Linked DNA regions of Oryctolagus cuniculus. The protein of the gene in region 1 purifies or fractionates together with the protein of each later gene. This does not show direct contact. Links are inferred from orthologs where the notes say so. Each region holds a gene or a part of one and is shown in the gene's direction. Other genes may lie near its edges. The genes, in order: OCRL, AP2A1, PLEKHJ1, SNX9 and RAB1A.

Evidence for each region.
Region 2: the proteins of OCRL (region 1) and AP2A1 purify together in Homo sapiens (affinity purification with mass spectrometry; 3 studies listed by BioGRID and IntAct, counting the BioPlex papers as one, with this or other methods). This does not show direct contact. The link is inferred for Oryctolagus cuniculus from reciprocal best matches to the Homo sapiens genes OCRL and AP2A1.
Region 3: the proteins of OCRL (region 1) and PLEKHJ1 purify together in Homo sapiens (co-immunoprecipitation; 3 studies listed by BioGRID and IntAct, counting the BioPlex papers as one, with this or other methods). This does not show direct contact. The link is inferred for Oryctolagus cuniculus from reciprocal best matches to the Homo sapiens genes OCRL and PLEKHJ1.
Region 4: the proteins of OCRL (region 1) and SNX9 purify together in Homo sapiens (co-immunoprecipitation; 3 studies listed by BioGRID and IntAct, with this or other methods). This does not show direct contact. The link is inferred for Oryctolagus cuniculus from reciprocal best matches to the Homo sapiens genes OCRL and SNX9.
Region 5: the proteins of OCRL (region 1) and RAB1A purify together in Homo sapiens (co-immunoprecipitation; 3 studies listed by BioGRID and IntAct, with this or other methods). This does not show direct contact. The link is inferred for Oryctolagus cuniculus from reciprocal best matches to the Homo sapiens genes OCRL and RAB1A.

The regions. Positions count from the first base shown.
Region 1 is NC_091453.1:107,239,267-107,244,979, forward strand, and holds the start of OCRL (inositol polyphosphate 5-phosphatase OCRL), read left to right. Parts: upstream 1-2,413; 5' UTR 2,414-2,647; coding exon 2,648-2,686; intron 2,687-2,937; coding exon 2,938-3,017; intron 3,018-5,713. UniProt on the Homo sapiens protein: Catalyzes the hydrolysis of the 5-position phosphate of phosphatidylinositol 4,5-bisphosphate (PtdIns(4,5)P2) and phosphatidylinositol-3,4,5-bisphosphate (PtdIns(3,4,5)P3), with the greatest catalytic activity towards PtdIns(4,5)P2.
Region 2 is NC_091449.1:7,764,743-7,769,826, reverse strand, and holds part of AP2A1 (AP-2 complex subunit alpha-1), read left to right. Parts: intron 1-3,726; coding exon 3,727-3,795; intron 3,796-3,882; coding exon 3,883-4,025; intron 4,026-4,671; coding exon 4,672-4,865; intron 4,866-5,084.
Region 3 is NC_091447.1:59,108,108-59,113,812, reverse strand, and holds PLEKHJ1 (pleckstrin homology domain-containing family J member 1), read left to right. Parts: upstream 1-2,282; 5' UTR 2,283-2,565; coding exon 2,566-2,659; intron 2,660-2,737; coding exon 2,738-2,805; intron 2,806-2,894; coding exon 2,895-2,961; intron 2,962-3,034; coding exon 3,035-3,125; intron 3,126-3,255; coding exon 3,256-3,319; intron 3,320-3,407; coding exon 3,408-3,524; 3' UTR 3,525-4,519; downstream 4,520-5,705. Other genes in the region: SF3A2 (splicing factor 3A subunit 2), read right to left, coding at 1-96, 282-328, 719-790, 898-1,023; DOT1L (histone-lysine N-methyltransferase, H3 lysine-79 specific), read right to left, coding at 5,536-5,705.
Region 4 is NC_091436.1:9,792,681-9,797,764, reverse strand, and holds part of SNX9 (sorting nexin-9), read left to right. Parts: intron 1-913; coding exon 914-1,079; intron 1,080-3,766; coding exon 3,767-3,917; intron 3,918-5,056; coding exon 5,057-5,084. UniProt on the Homo sapiens protein: Involved in endocytosis and intracellular vesicle trafficking, both during interphase and at the end of mitosis. Required for efficient progress through mitosis and cytokinesis. Required for normal formation of the cleavage furrow at the end of mitosis.
Region 5 is NC_091433.1:137,616,707-137,622,585, forward strand, and holds the start of RAB1A (ras-related protein Rab-1A), read left to right. Parts: upstream 1-2,070; 5' UTR 2,071-2,496; coding exon 2,497-2,519; intron 2,520-4,209; exon of another isoform or gene 4,210-4,333; intron 4,334-5,879. UniProt on the Homo sapiens protein: The small GTPases Rab are key regulators of intracellular membrane trafficking, from the formation of transport vesicles to their fusion with membranes.

The DNA.
Region 1 (5,713 bases):
ATGGTGCCGTGACTCGGATATGAAGCCTAGGCAGGGCTTAGTGTCATTCCTCCACGAAGAGGGGGAGCGACATAATGGTGCCGTGACTCGGATATGAAGCCTAGGCAGGGCTTAGTGTCGTTCCTCCACGAAGAGGGGGAGCGACAGATAAGCTGTCATCCTAGTGCAATAGTCATCCTACAATTTTGTGGCTGATTCAGTCTTTCTCCACTGACTTGGAATGTCAGATATCCTAAGTTTTGACTTACCATACATGTGTGAGAGTGTGTTTGGAGGCTCTATATTCTGTTCCATTGGTCTATCTCTATACTGTACTATTTTTTAAAAAGATTTATTTATTTATTTGAAAGTCAGAGTTACACAGAGAGGAGAGGTGGAGAGAGAGAGGTCTTCCATCAACTGGTTCACTCCCCAAATGGCCGCAACAGCCGTAGCTGCGCCAATCTGAAGCCAGGAGCCAGGATCTTCCCCCAGGTCTTCCACATGGTTGCAGGGGCCCAAGCACTTGGGCCATCTTCCACTGCTTTCCCAGGCCACAGCAGAGAGCTAGATCAGAAGTGGAGCAGCCGGGCCTCAAACTGATGCCCATATGGGATACCGGCACTGCAGGTGGCGGCTTAACCTGCTACGCCACAGCGCCAGCCCCTATACTGTACTCTTAATTACTGTAGGTTTAAAGTCAGTCTTGATACCTAGTCCATTACAGATTTCTGGAGAAAGTGGGTAACAGGATTGAAACAATACTTTGGGGGACTAGCATTGTGATGCAGTAGGTTAAGCAGCTGCTTGTAATGCCAGCATCCCATATCCAAGAGCTGATTGGAGTCCCAGCAGCTCTGCTTCCAGTCCAGCTTCCTGATACTATGACTTAGAAGATTGTTCAAGTACCTGGGCTCCTGCAACCCATATGGGGGACAGGATGAAGTTCCTGGCTCCTGGCTTTGGCCTGGCCTACATCTAGCTGTTGCAGCCATTTGGGGAGTGAAACAGCAGATGGAAAATAGCTCTTTTTCTGAGTCATTCTGCCTTTCAGATAAATTAGGGAGTCTTTTTCTTAAAAGGAAACATTACTCTGGGAAGAATATTTTTATGACTGTCAGCAAAGTAAAAAGGTCAAAGCAGAGATTAAAGCCAACAGGATTTGTTTAGGGAAAATGCTGTAACCTCAATAGGATATCAGAAGGGCTTACAGTAAGGTGATGCAGTACGAATTGAAAATCAGGAATCTAAAAGTAATTCCAAAGAAAAGGTTAACAAAAATTGTTGACAGATTAGAGACGGATATTAGGAAAGAGAAGAAAGCTATGGCTTTGAGGTTTCAATCCCCGTTAACTATGTGAAATGATGAATTAATCCTGTCACCATGTTCATTATCAGTGAGGTACATCAGGTGAGAGGTTTGGCCAGGGATATACATTTAGACGTTGCTTGCTTAGAAGCCACCTGGAGGAGGTTCAAAGTAGAAGTAAAGGTCAGCATTTTGGGGGATTTTCCAATTTATTTTTTTTTAAGATTATTTATTTGAAAGTCAGAATTACACACAGAGAGAGGAGAGGCAGAGAGAGAGAGAGAGATCTTCCATCCTTTGGTTCACTCCCCAGTTGGCCGCAATGGCCGGAGCTGCAGCGATCCAAAGCCAGGAGAGCCAGGAGCTTCCTCTGGGTCTCCCACATGGGTGCAGGTGCCCAAGGACTTGGGCCATCTTCCACTGCTTTCCGAGGCCATAGCAGAGAGCTGGATTGGAAGTGGAGCAGCCAGGACTATAACCCGCGCCCATATGGGATGCCGGCACTGCAGGCAGTGTCTTTACCGGCTATGCCACAGCACCGTCCCCTGATTTTCCAATTTAAGAGATAGAAGAAGTACAGGCATTGTGGCACATCCGGGATTAAGCTGAAGCTGCAGGCAGGGGCAACGCTAGCCTGCCGGTTCATGTCCAGGCTGCTCCGCTTCTGATACAGCTCCCTGCTAATGAACCTGGAAAGGCAGCTGAGGATGGCCCCTGCCACCCATGTGGGAGACTGGATGGATTTCCAGGGTCCTGGCTTCCGGGACATTTGGGTAGTGAACCAGCGGATGGAGAATTTCTCTGTCTCTCTCTGTAATTATGTCTTTTAAATAAATAGATAGATCTGTTTAAAGGGGGGGGGATAACCAATATGATGCATTGTATCCTGTTAAGGATTTTTTGACTAGAAGATGTGGATCCTATTGGCCCAACACGTTTGAGTTCTTTCATATATATGACAGTGTTTGGCTTATGTGGCAGTCTTCAGAGATCTCAGCACAATTGTAGTGTCACAGAAAACATGTAAAACATCCTTTGCTGGACGTTGGTGGAGACGCCCCCAGTCCGTCGGGTCTGTCGCTGCAGTTCTGCAGGTTGGCCACAGGGGGCGGAATCTGCGGCGGCCTGGAAAGCTGGCGGGGGCGCGAGGCGCCGCTCTCTCTTGGGTCAGGCTCTCCATTCCCGGCTCCCCGCTCCCGGCTCACGACTCCGGGCTCCCGGCTCCTGGCTTCTGGAGCCCGGCGCCGAGCAGTTTCTGAAACGACGCGTAGCCCAGGCGGGTGGGTGTGAGGACGCGGGAGGCAGTGTCGTCGGATCCGCCCGCAATCCACAACCCCGCAGAGCCCAGAGGCCGCCCGAATGGAGCCGCCGCTCCCGGTCGGAGCCCAGCCCCTTGCCGTATCCGCCGAGAGAAGGGGGAAGGGAGGCCGCACAGGGCGGGGGATGGGGGTCTGGGGCACTGCGGAGCACGGGGGAGCGGGAGGATCGCGGGGCCAAGAGGCCGAGCGGAGCGAGGGAGGGGTGGGTGCGGGAGGCTACGCCTAGGGGGGCGGGGGAAGGCGGCCAGCGGGGCAGGAGACTCTCCGCCCTGCACCACGCACCCATCCCCGACTGCGCGTCTACAGGAGACCCTTGACTAGCGCCCGCATACTGTGGAGGGTATGGAGATGAAGGGTCCTCTCCGCGAGCCCTGCGTCCTGACCCTAGCCCAGAGGAATGGGCAGTATGAGTAAGTAACCACCTGATTCTCACGGAGGAGGGGAGCCTGGCTTTGCCTGCCAACCCCAACCTGCGACGAGCCAGCGCCTCTCCTCCCACGCTGGCAACAGGTTCTGGCCTAGGTGTGAAGTGACAGTGCTCCTTAACCATGGGGCTTTGTCCCCAACTTCCAAGCCACTAGACTGTGCCGGGTAGTGTGGCTCGGTGGAGGGAATCACTGGGCAGGCTGCACTGACGTGGGTTGTGTAACCTTGAGCAAACCAATAAAGCTTTTTGGGCCTTAGTTTCCTCATCGGAGGAATAAAAACAAACTGCCTTACCTTTTAGCCTTTACAATGTGTAACTCACATAAGGCATAAGGTAATAACTGGGGGAATGATAAGTGCAAAAGTGCTTTCCAAAATGTAAAAGTGCCATGGAAATGCTTCATTGTTAATGTTACAGACTTGTCTTAACTCCATTCGGCTGGTTCCTCCAGTCTCCCCACCCCCTTATTCCACTTGCTTGAAGGCATATTCATTAATTCAGTTATGGGTTAGGATGGGCCATTAACTGCTGCAGTTAACTGTTGGAAAGAAAAAGTAAGGAAATGTGTAGAAATATAAGTGGGGATTTTAACAGTGTCTGTTACCTTCCACTCTGTCTTAGACACAGGAGCTCAGTAAATACTGCTGACTGATTGATCAAAAGATTATCTTGATAAGCTGTCACCAGAGCTGCCAACCTCACTCCCTTGCCACTGCTTCCTCAGCGTGAGAGTATCCATGGTGACCATTAGGCAACATAGGCTCCCTACCCCATATGCCCACCGGTTTCTTGTTTGTTTTTCTTTTTTTAAAGATTTATTTTATTTTATTTGAAAGTCACAGCCACACAGAGAGAGGGAGAGACAGAGATCTTCCATCTGCTGGTTCACTCCTCAAATGGCCACAGTGGCCAGAACTGGGCCAGGCCAAAGCCAGGAGCTTCTTATAGATCTCCCACCTTGGTAGCAGGAGCCCAGACACTCGTGCCGTCTGCTGCTGCCTTTCCCAGGCCATAGCAGAGAGCTGGATTGGAAGAGGAACAGCAGGGACACAAGCCGATGTCCATATGGGATGCCAGCACTGCAGGCAGTGGCTTTACCCATTATGCCACAGTACTAGTCCTTTTTCACTGGTTTCTTTACATCAGGTTTCTTCCTGGTTTAAAAATTGTTCATCCTTCAGGCAGGCACTGTGGCACAGCTGGATAAGCTGCTGTCTGCAGTGCCGACATCCTGTATGGGCACAGGTTTCAGTCCCAGCTGCTCTACTTGTGATCCAGCTCTCTGCTAATGCACCTGGGAAAGATGGGCCAAGTCCTTGAGCCTATCTCAAATCCTTGAGCCCCTGCACCCACTTGGGTGGCCCAGATGAAACTCCTGGTTCCTGGCTTTGCACTAGCCTGCCTCCAGCCATTGTAGCCATTTGGGGAGTGAACCAGTGGATGGGGGATAGGTAGATATCTCTCTTTCTAACTCTGACTTTCAACTAAATAGATATATCTTTTTAAAAAATTGTTGATCACTTGAATCTAGCCGTCTCTCAACAAAAAAAGAGAGGAAGAAATAGAGCTCCCATCTGCTGGTTCACTCCTCAAATGCCTGCAGTAGCCTGGGCTGGACCAAGGGAAAGCTGGGTACTCAATCCCGGTCTCCCACGTGGGTGGCAGGGACTCAACTGCTTGAGCCATCACCTGCTGCTTCCAACCGTGTGCATCGTCAGTAGGAAGCCAGAAGTCAATGCTGAAACCCAGCCACTCTGATGTGTACACCCCAACCAGCGTCTTAACTTCCAGGCCAAAATCCCACCCCTCCATCCTGTCCCACTTCCATCCTCTGTGTCTCTTGTCCAGATGTCCAAATTGCACAGAAGACATTCCCACAGGCCTAGTCTGCTCTTATTGGAGGTTGCTAGTGCCACTCTAAGTGCATGTCAACAGGTTCTGTGGAGTAGCCCTTCCCTAAGTCCTGATTGGTCAGTTCCATTCATGTGGGAAATTCACACTGTTTTCCCCAGATTTCATCAAACCTTGGAAGACCAGTTTAATGAAACTAAATTCTTCAGGAAGCTGAATTGAAAAGTGGGCTACCACTGCAACTTTCAAAGGGTAGGATCCAGTGGAGAGATGTGACCCTTGAACAAACCTGTGGATTTCTGTGCCTTGGTTTCCTCTTCTGTAAAAACAAAATTTAGAGGGTTGAATACAATAGCTGCATTGTTGAGATGACCACAGCCCAGGATCTGGTCCCTTGGTTAAGCAGATTTGGAGAATGAGGGAGTATGCGTCTGGCCTTGAGATATGTGCCTTATGTTCTCTGGCTCTTGAAGAATTTTTTAACTAGGCAGTAGCAGCTCTCCTGGCTATGTGTATTTGTAGAGAAATCAGATTCTTGTGTGCCAATTCTATATAAGGTATGGGAATATAGTAACAACTGGCAGTTAATGCCTTGATATATGCCAGGTACTGTTCAAAGCGCTTACCATTAATTAGTTCATTTAACTCTCATGTGAGAGTTATTCTCATCACCCAGCTTTTAGAGATATAGAAATTGAGATATAGAGAGATTAAGTCATTTGTTCACAGTTAAGAAGTAGCCGTAACCGATATCCGAAACTATATAACATATAGTTGTGTGTATATATATATATATATAGTTTCTTTTGGAATCATTTCCTGGAGACA
Region 2 (5,084 bases), on another chromosome or scaffold:
GGTTCACTCCCCAAATGGCCGTAATGACTGGAGCTGAGCTGATCCAAAGCCAGGAGCCAGGAGCTTCCTCTGGGTACCCCACCCGGGTGCAGGGGCCCAAGGACCTGGGCCATCTTCTACTGCCTTCCCAGGCCACAGCAGAGAGCTGGATCGGAAGTGGAGCAGCCGGGACTCAACCCGGCACCCATTTGAGATGCCAGCACTGCAGGTGGCAGCTTTACCTGCTACACCACAGTGCCGGTCCCTAATTTATTTATTTGTTTAATATTTATTTGTTTAATTGAACGACAGAGTTACACAGAGAGAGAAGGAGAGAGAGAGAGAGAGGTCTTCCACCTGCTGGTTCACTCCCCAGATGGCTGCAACAGCCAGAGCTGGGACAATCTGAAACCAGGAGCTTCTTCTGGGTCTCCCACGCGGGTGCAGGGGCCCAAACACTTGGGCATCTTCTACTGCCTTCCCAGGCCACAGCAGAGAGCTGGATCGGAAGTGGAGCAGCCGGGTCTCAAACCAGCGCCCATACGAGATGCCGTCAGTGTAGGTGGAGGTTTTACCTGCTACGCCACAGCGCCGGCCCCTCCACAGAGGTTGAAGTCAAGGCCAGGGAGGTGGGCTGTGGCCTCTGCTGGAACTGCTGTGCGGATACCTGTCCGGGGCGGCCCTGTCCCAGTAGCTACTCCGCGGCCCGCGGTGCGGTCACGATGTCATCCACTGGCGTTTCCACGCAAGCCCTTGAAGGAGCTGTGTGGCCCTGCTCAGGGTGGCGTGGGTCTGTGTCCCCGCCCTGGCGCCGGCCCTGCCCCCAGGTGCTGGCCTCCCCGGTGCACTGGTGCTCTCGTCTTTCAAGGTCCTCCTCAAATGTCCTGCCTGTCCCCAGGCCCCGGGCAGGGCCTCACAGCCTCCGTCCCTGGACGTCTCGCCGGGGGGCTCCCGGGGCTCGCTGCCTGGCCCTCACTGGGCCAGGTCCTTGGAGGCAGATCAGAAGTGCCCGGCTTGCCTAGACCCTGGGCCTGGCCGTGCGGCCCCCGCAACCACGCAGTTAATACACGGGGCTCAGACGGCCCCTGAGGCGACAGAGCTGCACCTGCCGTCCCCTCCGCCTTCCAGCCCCTTCTACGTGCCTAGACTGCTCCCCCAGGAGGGGCGCAGCCTGGCCCTGCCCTCGGGCCTCCGGGTCTGCTGTGGGAGGCAGGGAGACCCACGTGGCCACGTCGGCTCTGGTGTGGGCCACAGGCGGCGTGGGAGCCCCGAGTAGGGCCAGCACAGCGCCCCCGTGGGAGATACTGTGAGAGCCACCCGTGAACATGAATTCTCCCCTCCCCCGTAGCCACGGTTTTTAAGTAGAAACAGGAAAGATTCTTCGGAAATATTTATTTGTAATTATTTGAACAGTAGAGAGGCAGAGGCAGAGAGAGAGAGTGCGTCCATCCACTGCTTCACTCCCCAGATGGCTGATAGCCAGGCCTGGGCCAGAGGTCAGGCCACGGCTGCACGTGGGCGGCAGGGACCCAGTCCCGGGAGCCGTCAGCCCTGTCTGCGTGGTCTGCGCAGCCTGACCCCAGGGGCGCCAGCGTGGGAAGGAGGTGTCGAGAGCGAGGCCAGATGCCCACCCCGGGCAGAGGTAGTTTTAATAGTGTGTTTGTGTTGTTTGTGTGACCCAGTTCTGGTGCGTGTACTCGGCATTTGAAAGCTGCCTTATTTTAAAGGTGTATTTATTTTTTTGAAAGGCTGAGTTAGAGAGATTAATCCATTGTCTCTCCACTGGTTCACCCCCCGGATGCCCGCAGTGGCTGGAGCTGGGCCGGGCTGGAGCCAGACGCTTCTTCCGGGTCTCCCACGTGAGTGCAGGGGCCCAGGGACTTGGGCCATCCTCTACTGTTTTCCCAGGCCATCGCAGGGAGCTGGATCGGATGTGGAGTAGCTGGGACTCGAACCAGTGCCCATGTGGGATGCTGGCACTGCAGGCGGCGGTTTAACCCGTCACCGCAGCGCCGGTCCCCGTGTTTGAAGACCGAGTGCGACGTTTGCGTCTGTCCCCGACGCCGCCTTCCAGAGCCCGCTGTCCTTGCTGCCTGCAGCCCTTCTCAGCGTGAGCAGCCGTGTCTCAGGCCTCGGGAGCTGCCTGGCTGACAGTGTGCCTCCAGGACTCCCTGGGACCGCGGAGCCCTGCTCAGGGACTTCCCGGAGGAGGTGACACCGGGAGTGAGGCTTGTGGGAGTTGGGGGTGAGGCAGGATGGTGCCTGCTTGCCCGTTCATTCATTCAGGAGGTACACACCGCACCTGGCTGTGGGCTAAAGGATGAGATTGGCATAGGTGTGGGCCAGAGCAGGCCGCTGCCCGTTAGATAGCCAGACGTTTAAAGAGCACCTGCCGTATGCCAGGCACTGTTTCAGGAGCTACTGCCTGATGTGTGCGCTGGGCGGGAGCCGAGACAGAGGGAGAGACAGTGATTACGCAATGTGAATGGATCGATCTGGCCGGCGCCGTGGTGCAGCGGGTAAATCTGCTGCCTGCGGAGCTGGCATCCCATGTGGGCGTCGGTTCAAGTCCCGGCTGCTCCACTTCCGATGCAGCTCTCTGCTATGGCCTGGGAAAGCAGAGATGTCCCAAGTTCTTGGGCCCGTGCACCCACATGGGAGACCGAGATGAGTTCCAGGTTCCTGGCCCAGCCCCGGCCCTTTGGGGAGTGAACCAGCAGATGGAAGATCTCTCTTTCTGTAACTCTGCCTTTCAAATAGATAAATAAATCTTTGTCAAAAATATGAAAAAAGAAATGGGTGGAGGAGAGCTTTTAAAAACTTCTCCAAGCGGAATGATAAGGAATTGTCCTCAGAGAGGTGGGCAGGACAGGCCTCTTGGAGGAGGTGACGGGCCCTGCGGGAAGACCACTGGGAAAGTGGCCCCGCGAAGCGGGCTCAGCACAGGCGAGGGCGCGGGCAGGGAGGAGCCGAGAGTACTCCCAGGGTGGGGGGGGGAGGCCGGGCCCGCCGCAGGGCCAGGGGGCTCAGTGGGCTGGGGGTGGTCTCCCCAGCTGGCGTCCTGGGAGCCCAGTGCACAGGGCCAGGAAGGGCAGGGCGGCTGGGTTGATCTGGGTGGTGTGGGCAGGGTGCTCACCTTGGGGCTGCCGGGGGCGCATCCTGAAGCTAGAGCCGGGGGGCAAGGCGACGGCTTCGCTGGGGGACGAGGACGCCGGCTGCGTTTGGAGGAGCTGAGTGTGCCACGGAGTGACGTGTGGCAAGAGCGGACCTAGCAGGCTGGAGGGTGACACAGCACGCAGCGGGGGTGGCCAGGACCAGGCACCGCGTGGTCGGAGTGTGTTGTCGGGCCCTGGGGCGCACGGGTCACGGAGGCGTCGTAGAGCTGCGCCAGGAGGGGGCATGCCCAGTGGACAGGGAGGAGGAGGAGGCTGAAGGCCAGGAGGCAGGAGGAGGGGGAGCGGGCTCTGACCTGGTGCCTGGGTGGTGGGTCCTGCGGCAGCTGCAGGTTTATTGTGGCCACTGAGGGCAAGGCCAGGGCTGGCGGCGGCAGGGGAGCTCCCAGGGAGGGCGTGGTGGGAGGAGGCCGGGGCCAGCCCAGCCGGGGGCCGGCTTCTCTGGGCTGTGGATGAGTGAGCCCCTGCGGGAGATGGGGTCCGGGCTGGGAGGCTGCCTTCCAGCTGGGGGGCCGTGCCTGGGGAGGTGGGGGCTTGGGCCCCTACCACCCGCCCTGCCTTCTCTCCTCCCCAGGCAAGAGCAAGGAGGCGGAGATTAAAAGGATCAACAAGGAACTGGCCAACATTCGCTCCAAGTTCAAAGGTGGGCGGGGCCCAGATGCCTGGGTCTGGGGGCGGGGGGGGCAGGACCTGTCTGTGTGGTGGCTCCTCACCGCCGGCTCTGCCACAGGGGACAAGGCCTTGGATGGCTACAGCAAGAAAAAGTACGTGTGCAAGCTGCTCTTCATCTTCCTGCTGGGCCACGACATTGACTTTGGGCACATGGAGGCCGTGAACCTGCTCAGCTCCAACAAGTACACGGAGAAGCAGATAGTACGTGGGGGGGCAGGGGCTCCTGGGTCTGAGGGAGGAGGCAGGGGGACCTGGGCCCCTGGTGTGAGGGGCGGGGTGGGGGCCCTGGGCTCCTGGGTCTGAGGGAGGAGGCTGGGGCTGGACCCCTGGGTCTGAGGGAAGAGGGCTGGGGCTGGACCCCTGGGTCTGAGGGAAGAGGGCTGGGGCCTGGGCTCCTGGGTCTGAGGGAGGAGGCTGGGGCTGGACCCCTGGTGTGAGGGGCGGGGCGGGGGGACCTGGGCCCCTGGGTCTGAGGGAAGAGGCTGGGGCCTGGGCTCCTGGGTCTGAGGGAGGAGGGGCTGGGGCTGGACCCCTGGGTCTGAGAGAGGAGGGCTGGGGCTGGACCCCTGGGTCTAAGGGAGGAGGGCTGGGGCTGGACTCCTGGGTCTGAGGGAGGAGGGCTGGGGCTGGACCCCTGGGTCTGAGGGAGGAGGAGGCGTGAGGCCTGGGCTCCTGGGTCTGAGGGAGGAGGGGCTGGGCTGGACCCCTGGGTCTGAGGGAGGAGGAGGCGTGAGGCCTGGACCCCTGGGTCTGAGGGAGGGGCTGGAAGTGCAGACTCCAGCATCAGAGGGCTGGGTCTGGGACCACTTAGCCATGGACTCCCAGCAGCCTGCCTCCCCTCCCCCAGGGTTATCTGTTCATCTCCGTGCTGGTGAACTCGAACTCTGAGCTGATCCGGCTCATCAACAACGCCATCAAGAATGACCTGGCCAGTCGCAACCCCACCTTCATGTGCCTGGCCCTGCACTGCATCGCCAACGTGGGCAGCCGAGAGATGGGTGAGGCCTTCGCTGCCGACATCCCCCGCATCCTGGTGGCCGGGTGAGGTGCTGGGGACCCAGGGGTGCAGGTGGGGGAGGTGGGAGCCTCAGAGAGGCGTCTCCCAGCAGGGACGTGCGCCAGGGCTGGGGTGGCGCCTCAGCGGCCGGCTGCCCCCGGCTCTCGTCTCAGCAGGCGGACTTGCTGGCAGCAGCCCGGCAGCCCTTGGGAAACCAGTGTAGGAGATGCAAGCCTGAGGTCCCTGGTAGTGGCCCCCCCCCC
Region 3 (5,705 bases), on another chromosome or scaffold:
CGTCCGATCTTCACGAACTTCTTCACCTCCACCTTGACCTTCTCGGGCGCGGGCTGGGCGGGCGCCTCCTTGGCCTCCTTGGCTGCGCGCCGGGCCCTGGGGCGGGGCAGACGGGCGCTGTGGTCCTCCACACCAGGCCAAGGCCACGGGCGCAGGTGCAGGAGCCCCCCTGCCCGGCCTTGGGCTCCCGCGGGGGGGGTGAGGGGCGGGGCCCTGCGGCTGGGGGGCGGGTCAAGGGGCCCTCCCCCGTGTCACAGCCGGGGGGCGCGGGGGGCACTCACAAGTTGGTCTGATGCTTCTTCCCTTGAGTGTGTGCGAGGTAGCTGCCCTGCGTGGAGGAGGCGGGACATGAGGCCGGGGGCGGGGCCAGGCCGGTGGGCGGGGTAGCGGCAGGCGGGGTGGGGGAGGACCAGGCCGAACAGTGGACAGGGCGGGAGGGGGGGACCAAGCCGGCCGGGGGGTGGGGCAGCGGCAGGCGGGGGTCAGGCCGGGGGCGGGGGGATCAGGCCGGCTGGGGGCGGGGCCAGGCCGGTGGCAGGCAGGAGCGGGGGACCAGGCCGGCCAGTGGACAGGGCGGGAAGGGGGGGGATCAGGCCGGCCGGTGGAGGGGGGGGGCCAGGCCGGCCGGTGGGCGGGGCGGGGGCGAGGGGTTCAGGCCGGCCGGTGGGCGGGGCGGGGGCAGGCAGGGGCGGGGGCAGGGTACCAGGCCGGCCAGTACCTCGTTGTTGTGCAGGGTCAGGCACAGCTTGCACTCGTAGGAGCCCAGGTGGTTCTTCATGAAGTAGGGGTCCTGGGGGAGAGCGGCGCGGGGCGTCAGGGGCGTCAGGGGCGTCGGGGGCGTCGGGCGCGTCGGGGGCGTCGGGGGCGCCCCGCGGGGGGGCGGGCGGGCGGCCCTACCTTGTTGATGTCGATGGTCTCCAGGGCCAGCTGCCGCAGGCGCTCGCGGCGGTCCCGGTTGCTCTCGGAGGAGGAGGCCACGCCCCCACTCCCGGTCTTGCCGCCGGGGCGGTGCTGGAAGTCCATGGTGCCGGCCTGCGGACCTCAGCGCCGGAGAAGCCTGCGGAGCCCAGACCGGGGGGGGCCCTCAGGACGCGGCGGGGGCCGGAGACCCCAGGAGGCAGCCCCCAGCCCCTCCCGGGCGCACCCACGCGGGCTCTCCCGTGTCAGCCGCCGGGCCCAGCCGCGGGCGTCGGGGAGAACGGGGGCGCGGACGACCGCCTGGCGCCCCCCCGCCGTCCACTCCCCAATGCCCCTAAGCCAGGGCTGGGCCTCCCCGTGGACGGCAGGGGCCGCTCGGGCCCCATTCGGGCACTGGCCCGAGTCCTGGCTGCCGGCCCGGGCCCCGCACCTGCTCTGACCCGGCCCGGCCCGGCCCGGCCTCCGGGGACTGGACCGGCGGGAGGAGACCCCGCCCCTGCGACCCCGACTTCCGGGCACGGCGCGGGCGGCCCGGCTGACCCCAGGGCGCTACCGGGCCCGCCCGCGGTCCACGCACGAGCCGCCCCCGGCTGACCCCAGGGCGACCCGGGCCCGCCCGCGGTCCACGCACGAGCCCTGGCGGCCCCACAGCCCCTCCATCGGGACGCGAACCCAGGACCTCAGGGCTGGGGGAGGGGGAACCACGCGAAGGGACAGTCGGACAGCGGACCGAGGGGAAGACGCGGCCCCGGGCACGCAGGCTTGCGGGAGGGAAATCTAAGACGCAGCCGCATCGCCGTCCGCACCCGGGACGCCCCGCAGCCCCCCGGGCGCCCGCGACCGACCCCCACGACGACAAAGGCGCCAGCGGGGGCGGCCTCGGGGGTCCCGGCGGCTTTTGGCGGGAACGCCGGCACGCACCCCCGCGCGCGGCCCCGCGGCCCGGGCCCGCCCCGCCGAGCAGCCGAAGGCCCGCGGCCGCTCCCCGGACCCCGGAGCCCGCCCCGGACGGACGCGAGACCCCCGCGACCCCCGCGACGCCCGCCGCGGAGTTCCGGAGGGCCGGGGTCGCCGTGGGGCCCGCCGCCCGCCCCGGCCCCTCCCTCCCGCGCCCCCAGCCCACCCTGGGCGCCCCGGGGCCCCGATGGCCCCCGCGCCTACTTCGTGTGGGTCGCGCCCCGCGTCGCAGGCCTCCGCCGTCCGCCTCAGGAGCCGCCGCCACGACGTCGCAGTGCGCACGCGCGGCGCGGGCGCTCGCAGCACTTCCGGAGGGAGGACGGGCCCTCGAGTGTGCGCATGCGCGTGCCCGAGGCGCGCCTGCGCACAACGCGCTCCGCGCGCGCACCCGCGTCGGCTCTTGGGGGCGGGGGCGGGAACCGGTAACGCCCCGTCCGCCCGCGCTCGGCGGTCCTTCGATCCTGCTTGCGCCTCAGACCCACTTTATTCCGCGGCTGTGTCGCGGCTGCCCGGCGTGTACCCACGCCCCAGCACGCCGCGGTCGCAGCGCGCAAGACTCGCCCGTGGCGCGCAGGCGCAATGGCGCTTCCGGGGCTCCGACCTGGGATCTTTCTGGCGCGAGCGGGGACGGCGGCCGAGAGGGCTCAGAGCTAGCAGCGCGCGTTCCCGGTCCCGGGCAGCGCCGGCGCCATGCGCTACAACGAGAAGGAGCTGCAGGCGCTGTCCCGGCAGCCGGCCGAGATGGCGGCTGAGCTGGGCATGCGGGGCCCCAAGAAGGGCAGCGGTGAGCGGGCGCGGGCGCGGGCGGGGGCGCGGGGGCGCGGGGGCGCGCGGCCGCCCTGAGCCCGCTGTGTGCCCGCAGTGCTGAAGCGGCGCCTGGTGAAGCTGGTGGTGAACTTCCTCTTCTACTTCCGCACGGACGAGGCCGAGGTGGGCGCGGGGCGCGGGGCGCGGGGGCGGGGCGCGGCGCGGGGCGCGCGGGCGCGGGGCGGCCCCGCTCACGGCGCGTGTGCCCGCAGCCCGTCGGAGCCCTCTTGCTGGAGCGCTGCCGGGTCGCCCAGGAGGAGGCGCGGAGCTTCTCCATCGGTGAGTGCGCGGGCCGGGCGGGGCGGCGCGGGCGCGGGGCGGGCGCGGGCACCCACAGCGGCCGCTCCCGCAGGCTTCCTGGAGGACCCGGAGAGGAAGTACGTGTTCGAGTGCGGCAGCGAGGAGCAGTGCCGGCAGTGGACGGAGGCGCTGCGCAGGGCCAGGTGGGGCCGGGGCGGCGGGGGCGGCGGGGGCGGCGGGCGCGGCGGGCGCGGCGGGCGCGACGGGGGCGGCGGGCGCGGCGGGCGCGGCGGGGGCGGCGGCCTGACCCCGCGGGCACGGCCTCTCCCGCAGCTACGAGGTCATGCGGAGGAGCCTCATCTTCTACCGGAATGAGATCCAGAAGATGACGGGCAAGGTGCGGGGGGCGCGTGCGGGGCGGCCGGGCGGGCGGGGCTCCCGGCCCCGGGCCCCGGGTCACCGCGTCTCCCCGCCCGCCGCCCTAGGACCCCCTGGAGCAGTTCGGGATCTCCGCGGAGGCCCGCTTCCAGATCAGCAGCCCGCCCAGCGACGGGCGGCCGGCGGGCACCGGGCCCGGGCCCGGGCTGGACGCGCTGGACTGACCCCGGCCCGGCCGAGCCTGCGTGGGAGGGGTTCCTGGCGGAGGCGGGGGCTGCCCTCTGGGGGTCCCCGCCCTGCGAGGCCCCTCCCCGCGGCACCGGCCGTCCTGGACCGGCTGAATGTAGAGCGGAGCTAGACCGTGCTGTGAACGGGCCGGGGCGAGCCCCAGGGTCCCCGCGCTCAATAAAGGGGCCTCCTTTTCCAATCCCGGTGGTGGTGGACTTCCTGCGGGGAGGGGCGGGAGCCTGCAGCGCCCACCCCCGCGTCCAGCGGCCCCGCCCCCAGGAAGCAGCACTGGGCAGGTTCAAGTGAAAATGTCTCTTTATTAACAGCGGCTGCAGGTGGGACCACAAAGTGCAGAGCGACCCCCGGGGGGGCCGTGACAGTGAGCACAGAGCCGACCACGGAGCCCGGGCGGGGGCGCAGGACGGGGTCCTGCGGGAGATAAATAACGGGGGTGGGTGTTAAATAAGTCGCCGTCCTGGGCAGACGAGGGGAGCGCCGGCGGGGGCGGGGGCGGGGGCGACCTGACCGATTCCTGAGCGGAGCCGCCGCCCAGCAGCTCGGCTCGACCTGGGCGCGGCTGCTCGGTCAGCTCCCCGCCGGGCGCGGGCACGCGGGCGGGCGGGCGGGGGGTACAGTGTTTGTCTCAGGAACGTGCATTGTTCTAGACCGGGGACCTGCGTGTGTGACGTCGCTACTGTCCACCGAGGGGGGCCCCCGGCTCCCCCGGCCGCGGCCGGCGTGGGGCGCAGCACCTATGAGCCAAGAGCACCGAGGGGGGTGGGCCGGCGTGAACCGGGTCCGAGCACCATCTTCAGACTTCACTATTGCTGGGGGCGGGGCCGAGGGGCGGAGGCCGGGCGGGGTCCTGGCCGGCCCGCCCGCCGCTGCCCCCAGAGCAGGCCCCGCGCCAGTGGTCCCTGCGCGGACAGTGGCCCTGGGCTGCTGCCACAGTGTGCACTGAATAAATAGAATTTCCCCTTGCTCTGCTGTACACCTGTACACTCTAAGTTCGCTGTGCGTCATACAATCTAAAAATAGATGCCGTCGCGTCTCTGAACGTACAAATCTCATCCAGCTATAAAATACTGCCGCCGGCCGGCAGGGGGCGGGCCAGGGCCCGGGACAGTAATGCACTTGTCGCGCGGGCGGGCGCCCTGCGGGCCGCGGCCGAGCCCCGGGGAGGGGGAGGGGAGGGGGAGCCTTTGGTAGGGGGGCTGCAGCGGTCAGCACCGAGGGGCGGCCGGCGCGCGTCGGCTCATCCTGTTCCCCGCAGGGCTCGGGCGGCGTCCGTCGGTCGGGGCCGCTGCGCACAGTGCACGGGGCCGCCGTCCCTCCGCGCCCCCCCGCCGCCGGCGTCCTTGGTCCACGCCGTCCTTGCATAGGTCGCGGTTGAGGTAGAAGTCCTAGTTACCTGCAGGAGGGCACAGGAGGCGGCGGCGTGAGCGCGGAGCCGGCGGGCGCGGGCACGGCGTCGGCAGCAGCCCCGGCCCCCGCCCTGCGCGCCGGCAGCCGGCCACAGCCACCCCAGGCCCGGGCGAGGCCTGGAGCCCAGCACGACCCCAGCAGCCCGGCTCCTGCCCCGTGCGAGCCAGCGCCACGTCTGGGGGCGGGGCCGCGGCAGCGGACGCTGCGGCTGCCACCCGCGCCGCCTCCGGGCCGCCTGCCTGGCCCGCCACGTGCCGGGCGCTGGGCCCGGAGCCACGCGGACACCCGCTCAGCCAGAGCCCACGTGGGCAGCGCCGCGCGCCTCTGGCACAGGGCAGAGGGGGGCCCGGCCGACCCCAGCAGCGATGCGGCGGCGGGCGCCCAGGCTGGGCTGCCTCGCTGCCTGCCACCCGGCCTCGGGGGGCTGCCTACGACCTGTCCACTGCCTGCCCGCTGGGGCCGCACGGCCACGCCCCGGGGCCCGGTCTCCCTGCGCCCACCCCGGCCCTCCTGCAGAGCCCGGCGGGGTCGCTGCGAGGGCGCCGGGTCGGCTCCAGCCTTACCTTACACACGCACTGCTAGCTAAGCAAGGTCTGCACGCGGCTTAACCCCCGCGAGGCGCGCGGCATAAGGAGGCGGCATGCCAAGGGAAACCCACAGAGCGGGCGGGGCCGCGGCGCCGGCCTGCGGGAGGCGGGGCGCGGCCTGCGCCAGGGCCAGCCGGGGCAGGGGCGGGTGGTGCACCGTGAAGG
Region 4 (5,084 bases), on another chromosome or scaffold:
GAGAGACACAGTGTGACATTGGCTGAGACAGTCAGTGTGACATTGGCTGAGACAGTCAGTGTGACATTGGCTGAGAGAGACAGTGTGACATTGGCTGAGAGAGACAGCGTGACACTGGCTGAGAGACACAGCATGACATTGGCTGAGAGAGACTGCGTGACATGGGCTGAGAGACACAGTGTGACATTGGTTAGGTCGCTCTTCTTCTTCTTTTTTTTTTTTTTTTTGAAAGATTTGTTTATTTATTTGAAAGGCAGAGTTACAGAGAGGCAGAGGCAGAGAAAGGTCTTCCATCTGCTGGTTCAGTCCCCAAATGGCCACAACAGCAGCTGGAGCTAAGCTATCTGAAGCCAGGAGCCTGGAGCTTCTTCCAGGTCTCCCACATGGGTGCAGAGGCCCAGGGACTTGGGTCATTTTCCACTGCTTCCCCAGGCCATAGCAGAGCTGCATCAGAAGTGGAGCAGCCAGGACTCAAGCCGGCACCCACATGGGATGCCCGTATTCCAGGCCGCGGCTTTACCTGCTACATCACAGTGCCAGCCTTGGTTAGGTCAGTTTTAAAAACATGCAGCAGTTGGGATTTGTGGATGTGTATATTTGCATGGAGGCATAAAAAGGCGTGGGAATGGATACACTTCTGGGGAGGAAGGGGAAGGGGGAGGAGCTGGGTCTGATACTCTTTGCTGCCTTTTGCAAAATTCCCAAGCAGATGGGGCAAAATAGTAAAGTTAGGATGATGCCACATTTTGTGCTGTTCTACAAATTTAGGGGAAAATTACTTAACATTGTTTTTGATAAATTTGTTTGGATTTTTTAGCACTCCTTTTATTCAGTTGTCATGTTGTTCATTACTGAATTGAGTCATAGTTTTGAGAATTCACAAATATCCTTTCTCCTTTTCCTCCCACAATAGGTCAGCGGTGGCAGTGACCCCTGGTCATCCTGGGGTGCCTCCAAATCTGGGAACTGGGAGAGCTCAGATGGCTGGGGGGCCAAGCCAGAGGGGGCGGGTGCCCAGAGAAATTCTGCCAACAACTGGGACGCTGCCTTTGGCCACCCCCAGGCCTACCAAGGACCAGGTAAGGAAGGGGCTCCTGCCATAGTGACTGATAGGAAATGGCATGGGAGACAGAAAAGCCAAACTGTCTCCACTCCTTCCATACACAGTGCAACCGGAGGACCTCTGTGATCACACCCCACACACCGTGCACTTCTCCAGGGCACAGCCACAGTATGACTGAGTCCTGATGCCACTTGCCTGGAGTTGTTGCAGAATCCGTGCAGCCAGCCCATCGCTAACCCAGTGCGGTGGAAGCAAGTCAGCATTCACTGCTGGCAAAGCCTGGAACAAGGCACAGGCAACCGAGGCCTGATTCTCTGGCTCTTTGAGGGGCTAGGGTCAGGAATCTTTAGTAGACAGAAGCTAGGCTCAGGGGATACGTGTCCAGCTGTGCGCAGGTCTCTGATTGGTCTGCAGTGCTTGTGGCCCTCCTCTGGTGGTCAGGGGTAGGACAGCAGCCAGAGGGTTCTTTTGGGCATTTTGCTTATGGGCAGCTGGGGGTTATGTGCAGGTGGGTGTTACTTTTTGCTCAGAGCCTGTTCTATTTAAAACAAAACAAAACAAAACAAAAAAACAGAAACAATAACCTCGAGACAGTCTGATATCAAGTTATCTGTAGAGGCGATGAATGACCTCTTGATCCTTGTGATATGGGACCCCGTCTGGCTGGCTGGACCTAATGCACCTCCCCCAATCCAGTGGGTTGATTTGCCATCTTGGAAGCAGGACAAAGAACTTTAAGGGAGGGAACCTGAGAGCCCTGGGCCTGAGAATCCCACAGCAAAGGCCTTGTGTTAGGGCTGGGTTTCACAGTTAGATCCCAGGGCTTCTCAGCTTCCATCAGTTTGCTGGAGTGGCTCACAGCTCAGGGAGACACTTTGCAGGGTTTACCTGTGTATGATGAAGGGCCCTGCACAGGATACAGATGCACGTTAGGTAAAGATGTGCATGGAGTGAGGTGTCTGGAAGGGCACGGAGCTTCCTGCAGTTGTGGGATTTTTCTGGAGCCATGACACAGGCATGACCAGTTATTAGTTGATTCTCTAGTCCCTCTTCTCATCCTGGAGCATGCGGCTGGGGCTGAAAGTTCCCAGCTTCTAATCATGGCACGAGCAGCCCCTGTGTAGAAGCCCACCAAGAGCCACCTCCTTAGAACAAAGGAAGTACACCTACCACCCCTGTGGCTCAGCAGATGACGGGAGATTTAGGAGCTCTGCCAGGAACCGGGTGCAGAGACAGAATAACTAGTTCTTGTTATACCACAGTATCTTACCAGGTCATTGGAGTTAAAAATAGATTTTATTTTAAAGAACTGCTCAGAAGTGCTCTTTTTCACTGACAGCAAACCAGGATCCAAATGTAGTGATTTTCTGGATCCAGACGATGATAGTCACTAATGACAGTCTTTAGTTCCATCTCACGTTATCTGTCAAGGAGTCACAAATTGAGCCATAAAGTAAAAGAGCAAGACAAGGCTGCAGCAGACTGGAAAGTGCCTCCTGTCGGCGCAGCCTCCCGCTCACAGATCGCTGCGTTTGGGAGAAAGCTGAGTGAACGCTCTCATCACCAAGACTGGAAATCTCGGTTGCTGTAACATCTCAGCAACTAACACATTTGTTTCAAAATCTTGACCAGATGTTAGCGTTTATGCTAGCAATTAATACGCAGGTTGGGATGCCTGTGTCCCGACTGGAGTGCCTGGATTCAAGTCTCAGCTCTGCTCCTGATTCAGCTTCTGCTAGTGCACACTCTGGGGGGTACCAGGTGATCCCTGTCACCCCTGGGGGGACCATGATACAGTTCCTGGCTCCTCCCTCTCAAAAAGAGATTTGGCTCACTGCTTTTCAAAAACCTTCAGCTGAAAGCTAATGCAATATGGTCTGTCACCTGCTGGTTTGCGGCCTCTGTGTTAGCCATTTTATCTTTCCCTAAATGACCTGTTTGACTCCTAGACTATTAATAGAAAGCCTCAAACAGAACAGAAATTTACAGAAGAGAACCAGTTCAGAAAGTCACATCAGGACGGGGTGTATTTCGCACGATGGTTGAGATGCTGCTTGGACATCAGCATCCTGAATCAGCGCCTGGATTCAAGTCCTGGCTCCGCCTCCCGTTCCAGCCTCCTGCTAATGTTCACCCCCAGAGGCAGCAGGTGGCGGCTCAGGCGCTCGGGTCCCTGGCTCTTACCCACCTGAGAGAATCAGCCTGAGTTCCTGGCTCTGGGTTTCAGCCTGACTCTTGCAGGCATTTGGGGAGTGAACTAGTGGATGGAAGATCTGTCTCTCTGCTTTTCAAATAAAAATATGTATTTTAAAGATTTGTTTATTTTTTTGAAAGTCAGAGTTAGAAATCTTCCATTCACTGGTTCACTTCCCAAATGACCTCAGTAGCCAGATCTGGGCCAGGCTGAAAACAGGAGCCAGTAACTCCATTCTGGATTCCCACATGGGTGGCAGGGGCCCACGTGCTTGGGCCATCATCCACTGCCTGCCTAGGCACAGAATCAGGAAGCTGGATCAGCAGCAGAGTAGCCAGGACTCAAATCCGACCCGAGATGCTGGCATCTGTTGCAAGCTGTAGCTTAGGCCACCGCACCACAACGCAGGTCCCTCAGCCCAGACAGGAGCTGCTCTCGGAAAATGCCATCATTTTATTTTTCTCATTTTGTTTTTCTTTAATGATGATCACTTCTGTTCCCACCTCTAGCAACTGGTGACGATGATGACTGGGACGAAGACTGGGATGACCCCAAGTCCTCTTCCCCTTACTTTAAGGATTCGGAATCCTCGGAAGCAGGGGGCGTCCAGCGAGGAAACAGTCGTGCCAGTGCCTCTTCCATGAAGCTGCCCCTCAACAAGTAAGCGTGTGCGGGGCCCGGTGGGCCCAGGGCCGGCTCTTCCTCTGCGGCGGTCTCTCTCTCTCTGGGGCACGACTTAGTCTTAGTTTACAAGGTTAATAACTGAAATAATTATTTTATTTAATAATCTGCCACTTGTATTTTTTATTTTATCAACTCCATGTCAATAGGAAGTTTCATTTCTGATAGTAGTGGGAAACATAAGCATATATAGAAAGCTAAGCGAAACTAAAAATAACAACTCTTTAACAGCGTTTTACGTTGTAACAGTCACTTCCATGTGAGGGGTCGTACAGAGTGGTTGTCTGCCTGTGTCCCCACACGCCCTCTGTTGTAGACTCGCGGTTTCGCTGCGGGACACAGAAACCCAGCGCGGCTGGAGAGCCCTGCGCTCACGCAGCAGGCCGTGCTCCTGTCGGGATCCCAGCTCCTCGGCTCCAGAGCACAGCTCTTAGCTCAGCTCTTTGTTTCCACTTAGATTCTCTTCAATTAAAATGTTTATTCAGTAGTCCTTGCAAATCTGCTTAATAAGGAAGCGTGAGGAAAGAGTGAGATGGACATTTATTATTTATTATGTTTTGGGGTCTTATCAGATGGCATCTCGAACTAGTCAGATTTACTTACTGTGCTTTGGGTCTTTTCACTACGGAGTAGTTTCTGAAGGCACTTCCAAAAGAAAATGGCAGGGATGCTTGCGAACAGTGGCCGCTTCTCTGGGGTAATTGTGCCTTCCAGAGTGTGGCGAGAGGCGGCCTTAGTTTGTACAAATGCTGATGCGTGGCCATCGCCCCATGTGGCCACTCCAGTTGGTTTGATGAGTACTCACTGCCCCTGTGAATTCAGAGACTCTCAAGGAAAGGGTGCTGCTCCCTTCTCTCTGAGTGGGGTGAGTTCACTGAGAACCCATAAATATCGCACCTTCCGGAGTCAAACTGCCCTTTGCAACTGACCATGCCTAATTAAATTACTGACTGGCTCTTGAGCCGTCTGATTACATCAGGTATTGTTTACCATGGTTTCCTAGATCTGGTACACCTGAAAGAAAAAACACGGTTAAAAGTGGCTTGTTCAGTAACTGTGGGTGAGAGCTGTAGGAGTCTTACGAGGAAGGACTCACAAGCATTTATCTTCATGATTAGATTTCCTGGATTTGCAAAACCTGGAATG
Region 5 (5,879 bases), on another chromosome or scaffold:
ATATGGGATGTCAGCACCACAGGCGGTGTTTACCAGCTATGCCACAGCGAAGGCCAGTAAAATTTTTTTTAAAAGAATTATTTTTTATTTCTTTGAAAGACAGAGTTACAGAGAAAGGTAGAGCCAGAGCCAGAGCCAGAGAGAGAGAGAGAGAGAGAGAGAGAGAGAGATCTTCCATTCTGCTGGTTCACTCCCTAAATGACCACAACGTCCAGAGCTGAGCTGATCCTGGCCAGGAGCCAGGAGCTTCCTCAAGGTCTCCCACATGGGTGCAGGGGCCCAAGGATGTGGGCCACCTTCTACTGCTTTCCCAGGCCATAGCAGAGAGCTGGATCGGAAGAGGAGCAGCCAGACTCAACCAGCGCCCATATGGGACGCTGGCGCTGTAGGTTGGGGCTTTAACCCACTGCGCCACAGTGCTGGCACTGTAAAATTTTTTCAAAGCATGATATTGCAGGCAGCTGGAATGGGAAGCGGAGCTGGGACTTGTACCAGGTACTTCAATGTGAGACATGTGCAACTCAAACATTGTACCAAATGCCTGTTCCAGAAAGTTATTAACGTTTACCAGGTACTCCAAAGTCATTGTACCACATGCTTTACATTTTTTAATTTAATTCACATAGTATCCTCTCACTTGGGTTAAAACTTAGGAGGTAATTCTTTGTTGGATTAGGAAATAGTTACAGAAAGTGGGGAAATAGTGTATCTCTGGAATAGATGAAAGGTTGAATTTTTAGCTCAGTATGAGTGCTTGTGCACATTTGTGTTTTTACTCAGTGAAATCACAGTAAGCAGGAAGGGTCTAGGATTTTAGAGTCCAGGGTAAGAAACATTCTTTAATCCATTCAGGGTCCTTTTCCTGGAGTGGTGACCATGTTCAATTCAGAAATCAACATCATATACAGGAACTCTAGCTGACTGTTTGATGAGGCTATCAACTAAGGTGCATGGTGGGATTTGGGGGTTAGGAGTGTAGTTGGTACATGGGTAGAAGTGAAGAATTACTTTCTTCCCATATTTTGGTGCCATAGGAGTTTTAAGTGATTTTGCAATCACTTAAAGTCTCAGGAGATAATTTTCTTGGTTCTTAGAACCAGTTGGAAGATAAACTTTGGACAATGTGTTATACTATGCCCTTTGTAATTAAATAACCCAAGCAAGATAATGTGTTAAAGTTTAGTGGAGATTTAAATTCCTGAGCTGATTAAAGAGAGCTGGTAAGCCCATAAGGTTGTTTTTTTTTTTTTTTTTTATGTGTTAGTATTACTCCTGGAGTCTGTGGGCACTATATAGTGATGAATTGTACGTTTTTATCGCTTATTACTTTCCAATCTTGCTCAGAATTAAGTGGCAACTTTTAAAGAGGCAGAACAATTCAGCCTGAAGGCTGGGCCGAGAGCAGGTAGACTCAACTCTTAGGCCATGCCTGGGCTGTGTCCCACCCCTGGCTGTGGAGCCCTTGAAGGTTGTGGGGTCACGGTGGAAGCGCTGTGTGCGAATGGGCTGGGGCATAGTCCACTTGCAGGCAACTGAAATGTCCAGGCTGAGGTGACATGACAAGAGTGGGGCTGGGCCAGGACTGTAAAAATCAAAAAGAAAACGGTAGTGACCGAACCCGGGTGGGGTCGGGTGAGTGAAGAGGGCTGCGCGCAGTCCAGGGCGCCGGAAGTCCTCGGCAGAGGCCCCCGACTTTCCCGCCGCCCTCTGAGCCTACGTCCTCGGACCAGCGGCGAAGGGCAGGCCTCAAGCCCGTCGGGCCTGCGAGAACCGCGCGGGGCTCAGGGGCCGCCAGGCGCGCGCCCCTTCCCCCACGCTCGGGCCGTCCCACCAGGCCAGACCCCTCCCGCCCCGCGGTCCCACCGTGACCCCCATCCTCCGCCCCGGCCGGTACCGCCCTCTGCCTCTTCCCACCCCCTCCCCCGTGGGGCGCTGACTCGCCCGGCTGCCACGTCTCACTGGTGACATCACCGGGGCCTCTCGGCCTTAGCCAATCCGCTAGGGGGAGTCCGAGCGAAGTCCTAGCCAGCGAGTCAACGGGGAGGGGAGCAGGGAGGGGCGGAGGGTGGGGGGTGAGGGAGTGGGGAATGGAGCGGGCGACAACCGCACAAGTACGCATGCACCAGAGTCGCGGGGCTTGGCGGGAAGCGGAGTCCCGGCCGCCTTGCCGCACCGTCGGTCTTCTGCGCGTGTAGCTGCGCTCGCGACTCTCCTTCCCGGCATGCCACGCGCCGAGGCCGCCCTCCGGGCCGTGTAAAGACCCCTTGGTCCGAGGCTTCCCTATTTCCTGGTTCGCCGGCGGCCATTTTGGGTGGAAGCGATAGCTGAGTGGCGGCGGCTGCTGATTGTGTTCTAAGGGGACGGAGCGGGGGAAGACGTTTGCTCTCCCGGAACAGCCCATCTCATTCCTTTCCTTCGATTACCCGTGGCGCGGAGAGTCAGGGCGGCGGCTGCGGCAGCAAGGGCGGCGGTGGCGGCGGCGGCAGCTGCAGTGACATGTCCAGCATGAATCCCGAATAGTGAGTGCAGGAGAACACCGGTCGGCTGGGTCGGTGGGCCAGCTTGGGAAGCTTAAGCGGGGCGAGGAGGGCTGGGGCAGGGGCGCGGGCATTGGCCCGAGGGAGGCAAGGGTGACGGGGCCTTAGAGGCTTGAGGCCGGGAGTCGGGCCCCATTGTCTGACGGCGGAGGGGCGGCCGGGGGGAGGGGTCGGCCGGAGAGGTGAGCGGCCCGGGCCTCGGCCGGGTCCGCCTCAGGGCCTGAGTGCCGGGCCGCTGCGGAGGGCCTTGGGGCGTTGGGCAGTCCGGTGGCGGAGCGGCCTGAAGGGTCAGCTTCCTCCGGGGGCAGTAACTTTGGAAGGGGCATTTGTTTTTAAGGGGAGGAGAAGGGTGGGAGAGCTCCCCCAGAGGGCACTGTCAGACCCCGCGCCCGCGCTCTGCGGAGCTGTCAGGATCGCCGGGTTGGAAACCAGCTTTACTTGTAAAGCCTGAGCTTGCTGGTTCCCTGTCGTGCCACCCTCCCCGCCAGGTTGCAGGTAATATGGATGCTTCTCGGGACTGCGTGGGATTGAGGGCAAGGAGCGGAGAGATGGTGAGCAGCGATTTAAAATGCTTAGTTCTCGTTTGGAGTTATCTCCTGGAGGAGTTCTTTAAGAACTTGCCTGGTCCATCGCCCTCCCAAAGCCCTGGACATTTGGGAGAATTTGTTGTTAGAGGACACCTAAGTCATTTTGTCTTCTATAGGTCAAGGGAGGGAGAAAAAAAAAAAACAGAACTAAAACCAAGGGTACTACCGAATTGGACAAGGACTACTGTCAAGTTGAAAGAGAAACGAGTGGGACCTATGGTAGATCGTGTAGGTTTTGGATTACCTACTTGAATGCTTGTAGATAGGGAATGAGCTTCCATGACGTGTCATGAAAAGTTAATGCATTTCTTTTCCTTGCTTACTCAAGAGGTCACCACAACAGATGTGACACACCTGGCACTTTTCCTGGGAACTAGTGTTCACTTGCCTTGGGGAAGAGTTTAGTTGAGTTCTTTATGGCCCTTAAGAAAAAACACTTCCTACAGTTTACATATATGTAAATTAATGAAAAGTTGATAATTTAATTGGTATTCTTCAGCGCCGGAAACCTTTTCAGGAGGATTTCTAAAAGCAAAAATTAGTATTTGTCCCAAAAGTTTTTTTATTTTTTGCTTTGGTCAGTTACTGGTAGACATATCCCCCTGAAAAGTCAACTCTTCAGTTTAGCTGACTGTCATGTGTGTGTCACATGACTGTTGCAAAACGCATTCTGACTTCAAATTTTGTAATATTGTGGTTTGATGCTGAAATATCTTTTCGTACTAAACAGTAGCTATACGATTTTACTAGAATTTCTTACTTGAAAAATTTGCTATGTTGGCAATTTTTTCTTTATCAAGGGCTCCGAGGACAAAGTTGGTGTTACGTGGTTAGCCCGAGTTGATGTAAGGTTCCTAATTAGTGTTTATCCTGGAAGCAGTAAAGAACATGAATTTTTGGATTTGCCACTATATGGAGATTTTTTAAACCTCTGCTGTTCAGGGAGGTTCCTATATTTGCTACATATGTTTAGTACTATAAATAGACCTTGAAAATTAATTAGTTGAATGAGATTTTGAGAAATTACTCAGCTTCAGAATTTGTTTCTCCTTTTGTAAAATAGGATAAATAGGAGTCATCCTTACCAATGTAGTGGTGAGATTCAGATACTTCCAGACGAATTTGGAAAATGGTAAGAACATTCTTTTGGAGGTAGAAATCATTTTCCTGTAAGGCATTCTGATAGTGCTAGGGTTTAACAGTGCTATGGTTTTATAAGTTCCCCAAGGAACTTATAAATGGAATATAGAATGTAGATTTTTTTTTTTAGAATGTAGATTTTATGCATATCAAATGTCAGTAGATATAGCAAGTTCCAAATATGCAGTATAGATTGGAGCAACAGGATTTCAGAGGAATGTAGTGACTTTGGCTTGCCCATTGGGTTTTGGAAGACTCTGGAAAAGAAACCTGTAAGGATGTTATTAGCAGTGAGATTTGGAAGAGCAGAAAGGATCGAGGAGGATTTTTCCAGGGGCAAAAAGGAAGGATGGCCAATAAATGGCAAGGACTATAGAATTTAAGTAAGTGTAGTGCCAGATCATCCTTTCTTTTAAGAACTTTAGATTAATGATCTCAACAGAGTCAAACTTAGAAAATCTTTTTATATTTTTTTCTGGCATCTTGTTTGCCAATATCTAGCCTACTGTATTTGCATTCTGGACTGTCTATTAAAATAGTCCAGTAGTTTGGGAAAACCTTTGCAAAAGTGTTAATGAAAATATCTTAGGGTGATAGTAAAAGATGGCTATTTTAGGGAAGATCGGGGGCAACCAATAATCAGATTTTTTTTTTACCAATCTGACTTCATTGATCTCTTTTTGTCTTTAACGAAGTTTAACATTGTAAGAGTAATTGGAAAACAAAAAAAGAAAGCATTCCTTATTATTGAATACATTTTCTTTAACACCTTGTTCTAAACTTTAAAATCTTATGCTTTCTCTTAATTAACACTTTTAATGGATGAATGTCTTCCCTTATTCCAGGATTACAGAATGGTTCATTAGTTAATGTATCCTCCCAGATATTTCTTAGCTTGCTATGGATTGTTGTCTAATTTATCTTGTTCCTTTTAAAAACCTAAAAATCTGCTGTAGGATGTTGCTGAATTTGGAAGATGTTTATTGGCTGACATAAGATTACCTGTTGGTAGCTATATTTCTGAATGTTCTTTACAATATTTAAGTTTTTATTTTAGGGGTGAGGGGGAAAAATACATCAGTAGTTGAATTTTAAGCCATCCTTTTGACTGCTTTCCTTTATCAAGCCAGTTTGGGAGAAATGACCTACCCACGGTTAACATTAAGGTAGAAAGTTTGGATGATTTTCCTATCAACTACAAACGAAAGCAAGCAATTGGAAGTGCAGTCTGAAGTATGGAAAAAGTAGAACTTTGTTTTTTATGGAAATCTGAAGTTTTTTTTTTTTTTTTTTTTTTTTTTAGTGATGTGGTGAAGCAGGCAGTGCTTATTTCAGCATGCTGGTTAAGAAATGCTTAACATTATTCTCATACCAGAAGCATTTTTCATAATCCCTTGGCTTCTAGTGCTTTTTTTTAGTGTTAAAAAAATAATTTTGGCTCTCTCATCTTTAAGTAATGTTTTAAGAACAATGCGTGTGTATTTATCTTGAGTATGCCAGTAAACCAAGAAGAAGAAATACAGCAGTCTATTTGGATCAGCTGTAGTCCTGTAATGCGAAACACTTAAAATAATTAAGTTGTTTTTAGCACACACCTCCTCCCCCTTTTAAAAAT